Oreochromis niloticus: one gene and its partner. The protein of the gene in region 1 interacts with the protein of each later gene in a biochemical or structural test. Links are inferred from orthologs where the notes say so. Each region holds a gene or a part of one and is shown on either strand. Other genes may lie near its edges.

Region 1 (7,929 bases):
AATCCACTTTAGTTCTGGCGATGTTGAGATTGCAGTCACAGTCGGAACAAAGGAGGCTGCTGCACTGGTCTCAGTATCCTGGAAAAACCCACATCAGACAGACATGCATATGCATGCAGTAAAATACTAATTTAGCGTATCTGATGAATGGGCGACCACGTTATTGGCTGACCTTTAGCAATGTTTAAATGTTACATCAATCATTTGTCCAAGGAATGTCAAAGAAGACAAAAAAAATCTGCTCTCTGTAAACACCTCAGAACCAGCCGCGTGTCATATCGTGTCACATCCTCATCAGTTTTTATGATAGATAAAAAAAAAGGTTGCAACGAAGACTGTGAAGCAGACAGCATTACAAACAGTTTTATTTAAATAATAATATCATTGCGCTGTTTTTGTTTGTTTGTTTGTTTTTTAGGGATTTTCTACAGAGATACGCATGTTTTTCTAGTCATTTTTCCAACACGGGATAGTAATCCTGCTAGGGGAAATGCAGTGCATGAAAATGACTTCATAAAAATGTGAAGAATTTGAGGAATGCAGTATCACCCGCATGCGTCAAACACAAGATTACGCTTTGTGATCAGGTTTTTGTGTGTGTAATGAAGAGATCCGGCTCTACCTTGGTGCTGTCCACTGATGATGAAAGCGAGTCAGGAGGATGCTGACTGCACCCAGGGGTGTCCCCGCCAGGCGATGCTGTGCTACAGCTGGACGATAAGTCGAACTCAGTGCTGGAGTCTGGATGCATGGTTTCATTAAAAAATAAAAATTCAAAATAAAATTAAATCACCGCATAAGAGACTGAACAGTCAGTCTGTGCTAGACAGAAAACGGATGTCCCGGACGCCTATATTCCATTTGCCAGGTTCATAACTGTGCACATAGTGGAGAGGCCCGCCTTTTATAGTGAGCTGGAATTTTATGAATGAAATCTGTGTGGTGAGACCGAACCATTTCACCGAGGGAGAAGTGACAGGAGAAAGGGGCTAGCAGATGGGTTTTTTTACAGTTCAACAATCAAATCATTGAAGTGCGTAAAAATCAACACTAGCCCACTGTTTTATTTCAGCTTATTATCAGAACTCAAATGTTTTTTTTTTTAAAGTGAGCACATAGAAAATGGCACCCCTCCCTCCAAAAGGTGCCCACCGCCATGAATGAACTACGTCACTTCATGTATGCAGCATCTGCATCACAGGCTATATGTTCCCGTCATGCCCTCATATGTTCTCGACATTTAGCCTTTGTTTAATGCTTCTGGGCATTTACGGTAACACGAGCTCTCAATGCATTAGAAGGAAAGTGGAGGCAGTGTAATAGGCTTCATTAATAAATGGTTTTAAAATAGCCAGTGTGGTGCTTCCCCGGTTCTTTCTCCTCCAAACTGTCCACATTAGAACAATGATTATGCACTAATGTTCCATCATCTATTTATAGACACATAATAAAATCCGGCATTAATTTAATTATTTCACAGCACACTTCCAGCACACTGCCTGATTATTTATAAGCCGTCATAATTAAGTGTCATTCACGTATCACATTGCCTTTCACCTGTCTCTACATATGAATAGAGCTCCAGCAACAGAACTGTCGCTGAAGCCAAGCAGCCAATCGCCGAATGGACCGGTCGAGCCATATATGGTATTTCCGGGAGGGGTGGGGGGATGGGGGGGTGCTGTGGCACAAGGATAGGAAGGATAGCGCGCAGACGGACGCTGCCGGGCTGTGTGTGGCCCACTCACTCGCTGCCGCAAAAAGAAAGTAAAACAAGCTCTCAGAGATTGACCCTGTGCTGTACCTGATATCAGCGTCATCAGCTGCGCCAAGAATGCCCGCACAGGCGTTAGTTTGAGGATGCGAAGGATTTGACCCACCTTTCCATATAAGGGTGGCAATTAGGTGCAGCCGCAGATGTGCAAAACAGACTCATGAGGGAATCGGAGAATTCAAGAAGGCCAGTGACTGACATAATTTCTAGACAGGAACAACGTGACTTACTTTCTCACAGACGGTAATGCAGTTTATCGGCACCAATTAAAGCCCGGGCTTTAATTGATGTTCCCGCATAACCTAATTCTGCTCCCATAACAAGAGCTTGCGGGCCGGATTGGGCTATATTTAGGTTTCATGTGACCTCACGAACCCATCCAAGTGAAAGGGATAAGCGCTGGATAGAGTGAGAAGCTCCCCCCTGTTTGCTCTGCGCTCCCGGGTACTTCCCGGCAGTGGCAACCCCCCGCCTTGGGCCCTATTTACCGGCACATCACTATTGGTGGTCGTTTTGAGCGGCCTGGGACAAAAAGAAGTTCAAAGGTCGAACAATACTCACCTCTCAGCACAGCTCTAACAGTCGTTTTCTTCAAAGCAACTTGAGCGTGAATGCGCAAAGACTGTAGAATTTATTTTTAGATCCACTGGCATCCAAGTTCACGGTCATTTTAGTGAACTGTTCTCCTTTGAGGAGCCAAAGAGCAGCGATAAAAAAAAAAGAAAAAAAGAAATAACTTCAGGTATTAGATAGCATTTAGATAGTATTTAACTTTAAATACTTTTAAAAACAGCAATAAAAAATATGTTTTTATTTTAGAAATTGCCTTTCTTTCTTTCTTTCTTTCTTTCTTTTTATCATTATTATTATCATTATTATCATTATTATTATTATTATTATTGTTATTATAATTTTATTTCGATTCCAGTCTCAGTCCAACACGAAATAACACCAGCAAAAACCAGGTCACTCAAACAGTGCAGGTCAGCAACCTTCATGCCAACCACTCAAACAGAACTCAAACACCGCTCAAGGTAAACGGCTTGTTTGGTGTCCCGTTCCATTCCGTTGACCCGCAGACACCGAGGAAAGGGGAGGACTGTCAGAGATGGGAAAACACTCAGAGCTCTCACTCCGACGACGTTTCCGGGAACCGCTAATGACGTGTTCATGTGCACGTTCCGTCTCCACAGGCGATGCCGAAAAAGCCGGTTTGGTGTTTCTCTGTTGATGCGGCTCCTCCTCATGATTAGACACGATCTTCGTTGCTATGAAAAAATAAAAAATAAATGGACGTCACTGACGCGAAAGGGGCTGGGCGTCGCTATGACAACCAGGAATGTTCAACAAAACACTGGCGCGGGAAAGAAAGCGCAAAATCCTATAGCCTGAATTAGAGCCTTTTGACACAATGACACCTTTGTTTAGTCTTTATGGTTTGTTTAATGGGTCGAGAGCGCTTATGGTGCTTGTTTTGTGCTTGTTTAGTTAAAGAAGGGAATTCCCGGAAGACTCACGAGAGAGAGAAAAAAAGAAGAAGAAAAGTATGAATTGTGTTTCATTAAACTCATGTATCATGAATGTATCGCCTTTATTAAGAATAAACCATGAACAAAACTACCAGCAAATGTTGCTGACTTTGGTAATATTGCACGAAAGTCATGCTGCTTGTTCCACAGACCTACTTCTCAAGTGAACAGGATAATAAAAAAAAAAGTGCTGATGTCAGAGAACGAACAGTTATTAAACAGCAAATGCAGTCGCAATGTTGGCTCACCGTTAAGCCTGCATTTCATGAATTCGTTTCATAGCTTCTTACGTAAATCTTGAGGATTCCCTCTGCTAGTGGCTTTGGGGAAGACCTTTACAATTAACCGCCACCCCTCCCCATCTCCTGTCGTCGAGGAAACGTACACACAGAAAACCAGTTATCAGCTCGCTCTGCAGCTAAACACGCCCTGTTCTGGATTGCAGGCGAAAGGTACAAACAGTACCTGAGGGTGGAGAACATGTCACCCATGTCCTGACATGCAACGTTTATGTAGAGATATTTTAGACTGACTATGAAACAATTCCATTGTAACTTACTGGATATAAACGCATCTGGGATTAAGTAAGAAAAATACATGAATACAAAAATTAAATAAATAAGTAAATTAAAAGTCGGTTTACTTTAGAAAACGGACAGACCACAGAATCAAGTAAAAATTAATTACCCACCATTTTCTCGCTTATTCTTATCTTTATTTTTAATTATTCTTTGTATTTCGTGACCTACACATGCAAATGCGGACCTTCTGTGATTGTATGGATTGTCTCGCATTAAGTGTGTAACCATTTATCAAATTAAACACTTTAAAAATAGCCGATAAGTGAGTCAGTGAGTGAAGTTAGCGAGTACGTAAATAACATGTTATTTATATGCCAAATTTCAAGATGAATATCACAAAGTGCTTCACCACAAGCCGAAAGTTTGCACGATAAAACTGAGTTTCTATATTTCAAAAACATAAAAATAAAAAAGGAGGTGCGCGGCTGGGGGAGGGGGTTAAAAAAAACAGAAACAGATTTTTTTTTTTTTTTTCATGTGTTTGTTTGGTACATTTTGTTCAGCACAGACGCATTTGCATGTTTAATTGTGTCCTTGCTGTGTAGGACGCACTTTTCCTCACTGTTATCTCAGTTCTTTAAGTTTTCACAACAATCTCTGTTTGTTGTTTTACATAACGTCATGCCGCTGTCCGCCACTCTCACGGTGTATTTCCCATCAGGCCCCGCCTCCTTCACAGGATGCACCATATATGGATACCTACGTATCGGGGATCCCGCTCCGGAATATTCCATTTCTTGAAGACGAGTTTTAGAAATAAACATTTCAAATAGTCACTTATCACCTGTAAATGACTCATTCGTGACTCGTGCAAACAAACTGTATTGAATTTAAATGGAGCGCGAGGAAAAGTCGGTGTTATTACCGCGTTGTTAAGTCAGTGTTTTGGTGTTTTTTTTCCTTCCTGGTGTCGGGTGCACGGCACACCCCTCTTTACGTCAGCAGACAGTATATAAATGGCCCAGCTCGGAGAGTTGGCAGTCTAACTTTGAGTAGCAGAACAGCGACTAAGAGAACTGATCGGGAACAGCGCTTGAAGAGTTTTCTCGCAAACCCACTAAAGGACTATCCTGACCTCAAGTTTACATTCGTCCTTAGTAGAGTTTGTCCGGATCTTCTTATCTGCTTAATTTTTTTTCGAAAAAAAGGAACGATGATGTTCAATTTCAACGCGGATTGCGACTCTTCCTCTCGCTGCAGCACCGCTTCCCCGTCCGTGGACACTCTGGGATATTACCCGTCACCAGCGGGATCTTACTCCAGCATGGGATCTCCCCAGTCTCAGGTATGTCCGCTTAAACATTGTTAAATTTTTACAGCACGCTATTTCAGCTCAGAAAGGACCTGTTGGAGATTTGGATGTTTACTAAATTAAACTGACAAAACTTAAAAGTGATGTTTTCAGATAATAATAATGGTAATAATGAAAAAGGCTGGCTGGAAATTAAGAAAAGCACTCATTGAGTTTTGTTTTTAAATATGTATATATATATTTTAAAAAATAACTCTGACCTGCGCACCAAACAGTGCAAGGCAAGCTTCATTCATCCACCTGGAAACTCCATAGAGAGAGTGTAACGTCATAGCTGACATCATAAGGATATTTTTAAACCATCCAGCTTTTTATAGACCCTCCGTGCTTCATTCATAGACATCTTGCAATGCTGCCACCCCTCCTGATAATGTACTAAACGTCCTGACGATCTTCTCTTTTATTTCATTTCCTCCAGGATTTCACAGACCTGACAGCATCAAGTGCCTCCTTCATCCCCACAGTCACGGCCATTTCCACGAGCCCAGATCTTCAGTGGATGGTCCAGCCTGTGGTCTCCTCAGTGGCCCCTTCCCACGGAGCTCACCCTTACACCTCCAGCCCCAGCCCTGCATATTCAAGAGCAGTCATGAAATCTGCAGTGTCCAGGGCTCACAACAAGAGAGGCAAAGTGGAACAGGTAATTATCATTCGTTCATGAAGTGTTATATATAGTCATAGACTAAGTTTATTAAAGAGCAGGGGTCCTAACTTTTACCTTCTATCATGTGCAGATGACACCTGAGGAGGAAGAGAAGAGAAGGATTCGCAGAGAGAGGAATAAGCAGGCAGCAGCAAAATGCCGCAACAGGAGGCGAGAGCTTACAGACACTCTGCAAGCTGTAAGTATCCCATCAGACTTACCATCACTCATTAAAACGTGTTTATTGTCAGAGCTAATAGCAGAGCTATCCAACAGCCAAGCTGATGCAACTTCCTCCATTTCTCTCTCTTACAGGAAACTGATATCCTGGAAGACCAGAAATCCAACTTGCAGAATGATATCGCCAACCTGCTGAAGGAGAAGGAGAGGCTTGAGTTCATTCTGGCTGCCCACCAGCCCATTTGCAAAATCCCCTCTGAGCTGGGCACGGACTTCCCCCTGACCTCCCTCTCTCCTACCCATTCCTGCCACTCCGCTGCAGTGTCCACCCAGCCACAGATCACCGTCTCTCAGACACCTGCTATCGCTTCCAGCCAGCCGACCTTCACCTCAACCTCCAACTCCATCTTCTCCAGCACCAGCACCGCCCTCTCCACAGCCACTGTCTCTAGCAGCACAGTCAAGATGTCAGACCTGGAGTCCTCTGTCCTGGAGGAGTCTCTGGATCTCCTGGCAAAGACAGAGATGGAGACGGCACGGTCGGTGCCAGAGGTCGACCTGTCCAGCTCCCTCTACACGGGTCAGGAGTGGGAGGCTCTTCACACCTCAGCTAATACCAATGACTTCGAGCCCCTGTGCACACCTGTAGTAACCTGCACCCCAGCCTGCACTACCTTCACGTCTTCATTTGTATTCACCTTCCCAGAGGCAGAGACCTTCCCCACCTGCGGCGTTGCCCACAGGAGAGGAAGCAGCAGCAATGAGCAGTCCTCCGACTCCCTCAGCTCACCCACCCTGCTGGCCCTCTAAAAGACTGTACAAGAAACAATGATTCTTCCTATCAAAGCACACTTTCTTACATAGATGTGCCGATCACAGGGCTATGGAACAGACTTATATTAAATTATTTATGATTTTTATCTGCCTTTATCTATACTTGCCTATAACACCAATGTAGCAAGTTTAAAAAACAAAAACAAAAAAACCCCTCCCCGCATGTTTCAACTAATACCACCTAGTCGTTATATGAGTTCGTATATGATTTATATGGTGCTAGATAACATAACTTGTTGTTTATCGATGTGTGTTCAGAGCAATAGTTATTATTGATCCAGTTTGTTTTCTGGTTAATGGAATGTGAGAGTTAATATGTGAACTGTTTGTGAAATTTTAAAAAGAAAAAAAACAAACAAAAAAAGACGTGCATTGTCTTAACCATGGTCTGAGTGGTCTATCCGAAGTTTTCTGTGAAAACATTAGTCCTTTTAATTTATTAAATTTATTTTTTTACACATAGAGGAATAGAGAAAGAGATAGTAAAGAAGAATGTTGTTTGTAAGTTATGTAAATAAAAAGATAGTGATATTTCAATTCAATCATCTGTGCTGGCTGGGTGTGTTGCTTCCTCTCATGATATCCACACACACACACACACACACACACACACGCATTTACATATTTATTCAGTTCAATTCAGGTGTATTCATCAGTCACCTCATGGGGCAAGGACTTTGCGACAGCGGGAAGGAAAAACTCTTTTTAACAGGAAGAAACCTCGCCCCATGTTTAGGGGAAGAGAGGCAAAGGAAAAATAATTAAAGAAAAGATGAAAGAGAAAAATAATAAAAGAAAAAATAAAAGAGGGGAATATTCTCAGGAGTAGTAAATTAAAAGCATTTCCAGTAAAATGCTTTCAAAAATGATTAAAATAATGCTAAAATTAGCTTATATAAGGGATAGCCATCTTTTTTCCCTGCACCTCCACTTGCTCTATTTATTGTTCCGCCTGTTGCCAGGGTTAACTATGTCAGGGGCTCTTACGTCAGTGCGTTCTTTCCATTTTTTTAATCGCAAGCCGTGCGCGATGACGTCTGGACTTCCGTGCCCAAATATAGGGCTTTGCGAGGAGT
Region 2 (7,671 bases), about 5.8 Mb from region 1:
CTACCAAACATCTAATAGACAATGCCCTGGGGGTTACCGCTGTGCACGTACAGTCGGCTTTGTGTGGAGAACAATGTTTACAGTTCAGCCCAGTCCTTGGGGTAGAAACACAGACACTCATTTGTACTGGGTTTCGGCAGACTTTAGCATAATACTGTCAGCAAGACGGAAACATTAATCTTACAAGAGATGCAGGTGATAAATATCACCTTTTAAATCCCGAAACCGAAACAGTGCTCATTGTTCTACTGTTTTATTGTTAATAAAATAGGAAAACGTGTACAGTCTTAAACACCATGACAGCGTTCTTTTTGTCATTATAAATCTAGGTCAGCGTGGCTTTGGAGTACCCCCATATGATTTGAATTTGATATTCTGATATAAATAAGATGTAAGGCCATAAACTATGGTACAGTTGTGTGATTATCCTAAGACAATGCCGCCAGTGAACTCTGGGAGCTGGCCTGTGTGCCTGTGCTCCAGGCTGTATTATGACTGGTTCAAGTCAGCGTCCTGCTCATACATCTTTCTAAAATTATACACCACAAGGAAGAAAAGCGGCCACTTCTAACAATGTCAAAAATTCAGATTTAGACCTCCCTACGCCTCCCCCCGTTTTTTTTTTTTTATCTTGTTATTGTCTTACACGGGGACTGAAAGACGAGTCACAGCGTTATGAAATCATGTGAGGAGGGCAATTATCCATCACAAAAGCCCCACAAAAATAAAAAAGAAAAAAAAATAACCCACCGGCTGGAGAAGACAACAGAGCCTTTTGTTTGCTGCATTGTCAGTGACACAGTACCGAACTCCTCCTCATAATAGCTTGTTTCTCTAGAGCACTGTCTGCCTTTATCAGGCACACTTTGTTCTCCTCAACAAGTAAACTGAGTTTGTGAGAGTCATAATCGGCAGCTCATCTGAAAGCTCATTCAGGTTGGGATTGGCTGTTGTCACCCCCAGATTTGAGTCACGGCCAGCGCAGAGTTAATTTATTCTTCCTAGCGCACGAGATGAATGACACACAGTCATTTCTGTTATTGACATTTGCCTGGAGTGACGACATCATGTGACCGGGGGCGTCATGTGACTCCCGGGCCTTGTTGCCGTACAGTTGTATCATCGGTGCATTGTAATTATAATGCTGACTTAGCAGTTCGGCCACTTGAACTCTGTCAACCTTGGCCTTAGCAGCTATAGTAAAATCTCTCAGCTGTTGACAACTGACCACACAATGACAGGGTTTCAGGCGGCCGCAACTATACTGTACCGGTCTCAGTGGACACGGACTGTAGAAAAAATCTGAATAGAGTAGAAGCAGGAACATCACCAAGATCCTCAGTCATGGTCTTTGGTCTGAAGAAGCTGCTGTAAGTTTCATTTCAGGCCTCAGCGGCGGGACCTGTCCTCACCTTTAACACAGCATGGCATATGTAAACCAGACAGCAGGATTTGTGGAGGACCAGTATGCTTTTCATACAAAAAGCACCATGAAGTTTCACAGAGGTGGAGAAATAGCGGGAGACTGGTATGCACGCCAGAGTAAGGAAGATATATATAAGTCAAACTCCATCTACTTAGCACACAAATTAAACCAACTTGTCAGTGAACATTTAGAAATCATCGCTTGGGTCTCAGCGGGCCTCGCTGTTTGAACTGCAGTGTAGGTAGGCACTGTTTATCCTGGACTGGCCCTTGATTAAAATGAGGAATGGAAGAAGGGGGAAAAAAAGAAGAAATGGCTCAGTCTCTCGGTGGTCAGCCACAGCCTCCTCATCGCAGCCTCCACCAGTGATCTGACTTTCTCCTTTTTGCAATTTTATGTAATCACAACTCCAAGAGCTATTTTTAATGTGTGTTTAGGTTGTGCGCGCGCCATTCGATATTAAACATTTCCCCTTATTACTTAAAGGCCGACTTTATTTTCCCTCATAGCTGTGACTCCAAAAACAGCTGTCCAGACACCACAAGAAAGGTCCTTAAGTCACTGGAAGATGTAGATACCGCTGCTGGACTCCAAAAGAAAAATATCTACTTTTCATTAAGATTATACCATACCGTACTTCACCAAACAATTCACAAAGAACATCAACATCCTCTTGGCGAAACGGCGCGATAGATTAAGTTTTTCACTTCCATGAGTTTTGGATCCCGTTGAAGCGAACTTCTGCGTGGCGCTCGCTTTATTCTGTTGCTTCAGGTCACCGTTCTGCCTCAGCAGCAGCGTAAGGGGATATTTACGTTCACACCAGTGGCGCGGTGGCCAACAGAAGCTGATTGCAAGTGGTGTTTGTTTCCAACGAAAGCACGTTAATTCGGGCCCGGCCGCAGTGTAAACTACCTTGGCGTTTTACAGATGTCGCCTGTTAAAGTGAATCACTGTACCTGCCTGTTTGCCCGACCGGGCCGTTCTGATGCCTCGCCAGAGAGAGTACACAACACGAGCCAACGGGGCTATTAATAAGCCCTTCCTTTTCTAATACTGTAATCCGTCCGTGTGTGTAATGTCTCACTCCGGGCTAATTATGTCACGTCATTTTTAGCTTTCGCGACGAGACGAATACAGACAGCCTCAGCCTGAGTTCATTTTAACCCATCTTAGGTATCATTATCCCCCAATATTTTTCAGAAATAATTTTCTTTGAAAACAGTCATCTGCGAAGGTCATCTGCTGTGACAGAGCGAGGAAACAGCAGCACTGCATTACACACATGCTGCGTTAATAGCATGTGTCGTTTTTTAAGCGCGCTCCAACACACGATACCTCTATTATGTGTCTGCGAGAGCTTGTGATAACAAAGCGAGTCCATTTGAAGGTGTGTGGTCCTGAGTGGTAGAAGAGGGAAAGTGTCTGGCAGGGTGGGCCATCAACCACAGTCCTCAGGGCAGACCTTGGCCAGAGCTCAGAGTATGGCCAAGCTCTTCAGCGCCGCACACAAGTATAGCAAGCTTAGTGTACGGCCACCAGTGGAGAACCAGTAATGAATGAAATATTATATTCCACATTATATTTCAGCCTGTAACATTATTACCTGCACATAAAATCTCGTCTTTTTTTTTTTTGACAGCAAGATGTACGAATGTTACAGAATAAAGCTTCAAACTGTAACAACACAGCGACGAGGTACAGTTAAGTATTTCCTTTAACTGCATTTATACATTTATACATAGGCCTGGATTTGCAAAAGATATAAATACATATATAAAACAGGGTTTTTTTTTATGAGCTCTAAATACCAGCACGGATGGGTTTTGCCGTGTTTGGCTCTTCTCTCATCAACATAATTTCCAGAGAAAAATTCTTCCAATCAAGCTGACTTAAATCCAATGAATAGCTTTTCAAGTGAGCTCTGCTGAACTGCACAAAGTTCCAAAAACAATTCTTATACCAACAAAGTCAGAACCTTTCATTTGGATGTCTTCTGGATTTGATCTAGAGGGAGTTAAATCTTCAGATTTGAAGACCAGCAGTTTCAGTGCTGGAAAAGTGCACAGTGGTTTTTCATAAGGTGTGTGAACCTCTGACCTGACAGCGAGATGGGCCGACTTCAACGAAACTTTGCTGCTGTATCGGGGGGGAGGGGGGCACCCTCGGCTCTGCAAAGTTGAAATCTGTGCAGCCCGGACAGAATTCATGCGAGATATCTGACACTACAACATCATCACAGTTCAGATTTTCGCCATCAAGGTTGTTTATCACATGCCGTGCCACCCAAGAAGTTATGTTTCCTGCCATGTGAGTGGAGCTTGACATTTATGCTTTACTTTTCGTTCCATGTTTTAGATTCAATCACGATGTGCAAATTATATCCCCATCAAACTGCGTGCAATTTACTGTGGCTCAGCGGCACTCGGTGGTGCTGGACTCTGTCCCAAAGTTTAATACTTCTGACAGAAAAGCATCCATTTGCAGTAACCCTAAAAATGTTTATACATGACCTTAAATATTATTCTTGAAATACTTAAAGTATCGAGCACTAAACTGATCCAGATCTGCAACCGTCTCTCTTTGCTGCTGCACTGCTGTGATCTAAAACTTACAACGTCTAACAACTGCAGAAGTCTGCTTCTGGGGGTTTTGAGTATTTTCTATTTCGAGTGAACGTAAACTGCACGGATGACACGATCGATTAAATCTTGCCACGGAAACAGGTACTGTCTGTCATATTCGATGTGTTTGCAGCATCTGAATGGCCCTTCCCTACTGTGCTGTAACATGCGCTGCAACTCAAGAGGCATGTTCTTGTTTTAGACAGCAAATATTTACAAAGCACCGCGCCAAGGAAAATGTTTCGCTGTACGAAAATAAGGTCGGTGGCAAAGACTTGTGGAAATGCTGTTGTGCCTCTCGGGGAGGGGGAGTGGTGTTATAATTTATGTTTGACATATTAGTAGTAGTATTTGAAACAAAAAGGGCTCAGACTCAATCGCTAGAATATGACAGTATGCTTAGTTTTTACACAGACAGTAGTGTTAATTGTTTTGTTGACTGTGTGTTTAGGTCTCTCTTTTTTTTGAGATACAGTGATATATTTGTTTATTGTGGACTTTGGCTTTGATGAAAATTTTTCAAGACTGTTGCTTAAGCATGGTATTTAAATGCTATTTTATATGTTTTTAAAAAACACCCAAATTTTAATGTGCTGTCTATTTTAAATATAGTATTTAAAAGCAGACTGATAAATTAAAAAACACTTATTCTAATTTGTTTCTAAAATGTGTATCTGTATATATATATAGATATAGATAGATAGAGAGAGAGAGAGATTTTCTACTGCCAAACCAGGAGTGGTATAGATACATTACAATCGATACATGCATTATTAGCAGGGCCTAACATATATATTATTTTTCTTAAATCACAAGTAGCATGAACAACCCACAGAACCCAGTGTCATTGGATCCTTGGAGCTTCGTTGTATCATTTCTATTAAGAAACACCCCCAATAATCTTCACTCACAATAAGTGTAATAGTAGCTGAACGTAGTATCTCTTAAGATGTTTATTGCTTCTTTTTGTTTCTTTGTGGGTTTAATGTAATTGAATGTGGTGAGCCACACAAATAAAAGTTGACTGTTCTCCATGGTATATTGGCACAGGTAGCAATACCTAGGTAGAATATAAAAAAAACCTGTCACATAAAAGCAAAATTACCTACCTGAACAGCTGTCATCTCATAAATTAGAAGCATTTGATAGGCTTATTCTGACGGCTAATTAAAAGGGAGAAAGTTTCAACGGGCAAAAACAAATCTAAGACAGAAAGACAAAAGGCTGAGGAGCTACTCGACTCTTTGCTGCTTAGTCACACATGCCTGCTGGCAAATGAAAGAATGATTAAGATACTGTTAACACTTTCAAACCTGACTGAACTGCCAGCTTCATTCCACACATTCCTCTGCTTCTCTTCTAACACCCCGTCTGCGTTTTTCTGATGTGTTGTAACAAACACCTGTGATCAGTGATCAAAAGACAAACCGTGCTGAGATGTGCGAGGGTGTGGGAATCGGTGTGTGCGTGGAGCGTGTGATGATTCACTGTTAATTGTCGAGACCTGCCTGCTCTGCACTACAGGTTGGCAGGCCGTTCTCGGCAGGGTGATGGGGTGTGTGTGTGTCTCCTGTTAGAAGACATCTCTTTTACAGAAAAGACAGGTGGCCATGATCTATGGCCTCTTACGGGAATCGCCCCCCTGACTGCTGCTTCAGTGAGAGCCAATGAAAGCTCAGTATAGGCTTGGATGCATACATGCACATGCACAAACACGGCTATTACGGTAATAACGCGGTGACATAACTACTGTTTGTGACACAGCAACGTGCAAGGAGTGAGAAAGAGAACAAATTCAGGCTGCACCGAGACGACTCTTCAGACACGCTCCTCGGTAAATAAGCAGAGTGTCACACCACCTCCGCTTTCCCTTCACACACATGCGCTCGCCCAGCTTTTTCCTCTCTTCCCCAATTCTTTCTGCTGCAGACAAACACGCGCGTGTACACACCCAGTCTCACACCACCACCACCACCAGCCAGCCATTCGCTCCTCACTCACACCCTCAAATCTTACCAAGCTGAGCTCTCCCTGCTCAGAGGCAGACAGGAGCAGCACGGCAGCCTGCTAAAGGAGTTGAGGGAAGGAGCAGCAGTGTCAGGGAGAGAGAGAGTTTGAGGAGAGAGAGTGAGGAGGGAGGGGGATGAAAGAGTGAAGGGAGACCAACCCAAGAGAGAGCACTGCTCCCCATATGCTGAGGAGGCATGGGCGGTTGAACAAGCTGCCCCCACTGAAGCCTCCTGACTCATGGGAGCGTCAGACCCCGATCCCCAGAGAGCCTGGAAATGCTGCCGAACCACGCGCAAGAGAGAAGGAGGGGAGCCAGAGAGTAGAGGAAAAAAAAAGTCCAAGGAGAGGAGAGGGAAGAAAGCCACAACGGTAGGCTGTCCCAACTCAACTGCTGTGCCGTGATGACGTCAGAGGGCATGTGACCCAGGCTCTCCAGTGACGGCACATGGAGGGCAGGAAAGAGACGAGTTTTAAAGCTGGTGCCTTTTGGGTTGTGTGAGGGCTCTGCTCGCCTCCCAAACAACCACAGAACCACAGACGTGCGGCTCGGGGTTGGTGTTTGAGGGCGACCTGGAGTGTAAATGGTTAATCGTCGCGGGCCAGCACCAGTCACAAGGACGGCGCTAAGCGAGTAAGTACGTCCCAACCACACTCGCCAAGCAAGCAAGTCCGACACCATCTGATCTATCCGCAAAGGCGATATTTGTCTCTGCAATTTTTTTTTTCCTCTATAAAACCAGACCTGGTTGTTACTTGTGGTCATCCAAATAGTTGATACGTAAAAGCATGTCTTGTGGATGGCTTTTCCATTTTTTTTTCTTCATGACATGCTGCGTGCTCTTGGTTTAGGACGTGTCAAGGGTCAAGGAAACCACAGAAGAACAAAAGTGGGGCTTGCTGCAACCAGAGGCAGCTATGGCATCTAACAGCCTTTTCAGCACAGTGACACCATGTCAGCAAAACTTCTTCTGGGGTGAGTACCACTTTCCTGCTCCCTGTTGTGTCTGGATTGGGTTGGGGGGCTCAGGTCACAGGAAGGACTTGGGGTCAGGTGGTGAGGCTTGGGTGGTGGAATTAACGGGGTTCGAGGAAAGCGGGCGAAGATGTTGGAACTGGTCCGATGTTTTGGGTCCAGATGAGTGGAGGGGATCAGCTGAGGTCATGGAGGACCCCGCTATCAAGGTCCAAGCTTTTGTGGCGGACAAAACACCCAACTATCATCAAGGCTTTTTCTCCTTTTTCTTTGTGCACCCAAAAGAAAAAAACAACAAGAAAAGAAAATCTGCACATAGAGATTCCAGTATTTATTCTATGTGATGTTTATAAATATTTTCCAAAGAGGGAGATGATATGTTTGTGCAACATACCCTTAGATTTACAAAGCGATGCCATTGCGGAACCAAAAACAAAGGCACGGGTGATATTTTTGACAGACGTAAACAGACGCTGCACAAGGGAGTTTACAGTGGAGCATTGGAACAAGATGTGGGGGATTACTGGGCTGTGTGTGTTGGGTGCCTCTGCTTGCGCATAGAGAAGAAGTATTGATTAGTTTGCCAAGAAAGATCTGTAATCGCTTCCTGAAATTGTTCAGTTGCGCTGCTGTCGTTA

What was found. The genes of interacting proteins can lie anywhere in the genome.
Region 2: the proteins of fosab (region 1) and runx2b form a complex in vitro, tested with the Homo sapiens proteins (2 studies listed by BioGRID). The link is inferred for Oreochromis niloticus from reciprocal best matches to the Homo sapiens genes FOS and RUNX2.

What each region holds. Positions count from the first base shown.
Region 1 is NC_031980.2:9,324,130-9,332,058, forward strand, and holds fosab (v-fos FBJ murine osteosarcoma viral oncogene homolog Ab), read left to right. Parts: upstream 1-4,857; 5' UTR 4,858-5,037; coding exon 5,038-5,169; intron 5,170-5,614; coding exon 5,615-5,836; intron 5,837-5,930; coding exon 5,931-6,038; intron 6,039-6,154; coding exon 6,155-6,829; 3' UTR 6,830-7,395; downstream 7,396-7,929. Other genes in the region: proto-oncogene c-Fos, read right to left, coding at 1-78, 623-751. UniProt on the Homo sapiens protein: Nuclear phosphoprotein which forms a tight but non-covalently linked complex with the JUN/AP-1 transcription factor. In the heterodimer, FOS and JUN/AP-1 basic regions each seems to interact with symmetrical DNA half sites.
Region 2 is NC_031980.2:3,484,861-3,492,531, reverse strand, and holds the start of runx2b (runt-related transcription factor 2b), read left to right. Parts: upstream 1-4,666; 5' UTR 4,667-6,695; intron 6,696-6,909; 5' UTR 6,910-6,975; coding exon 6,976-7,033; intron 7,034-7,671. UniProt on the Homo sapiens protein: Transcription factor involved in osteoblastic differentiation and skeletal morphogenesis. Essential for the maturation of osteoblasts and both intramembranous and endochondral ossification.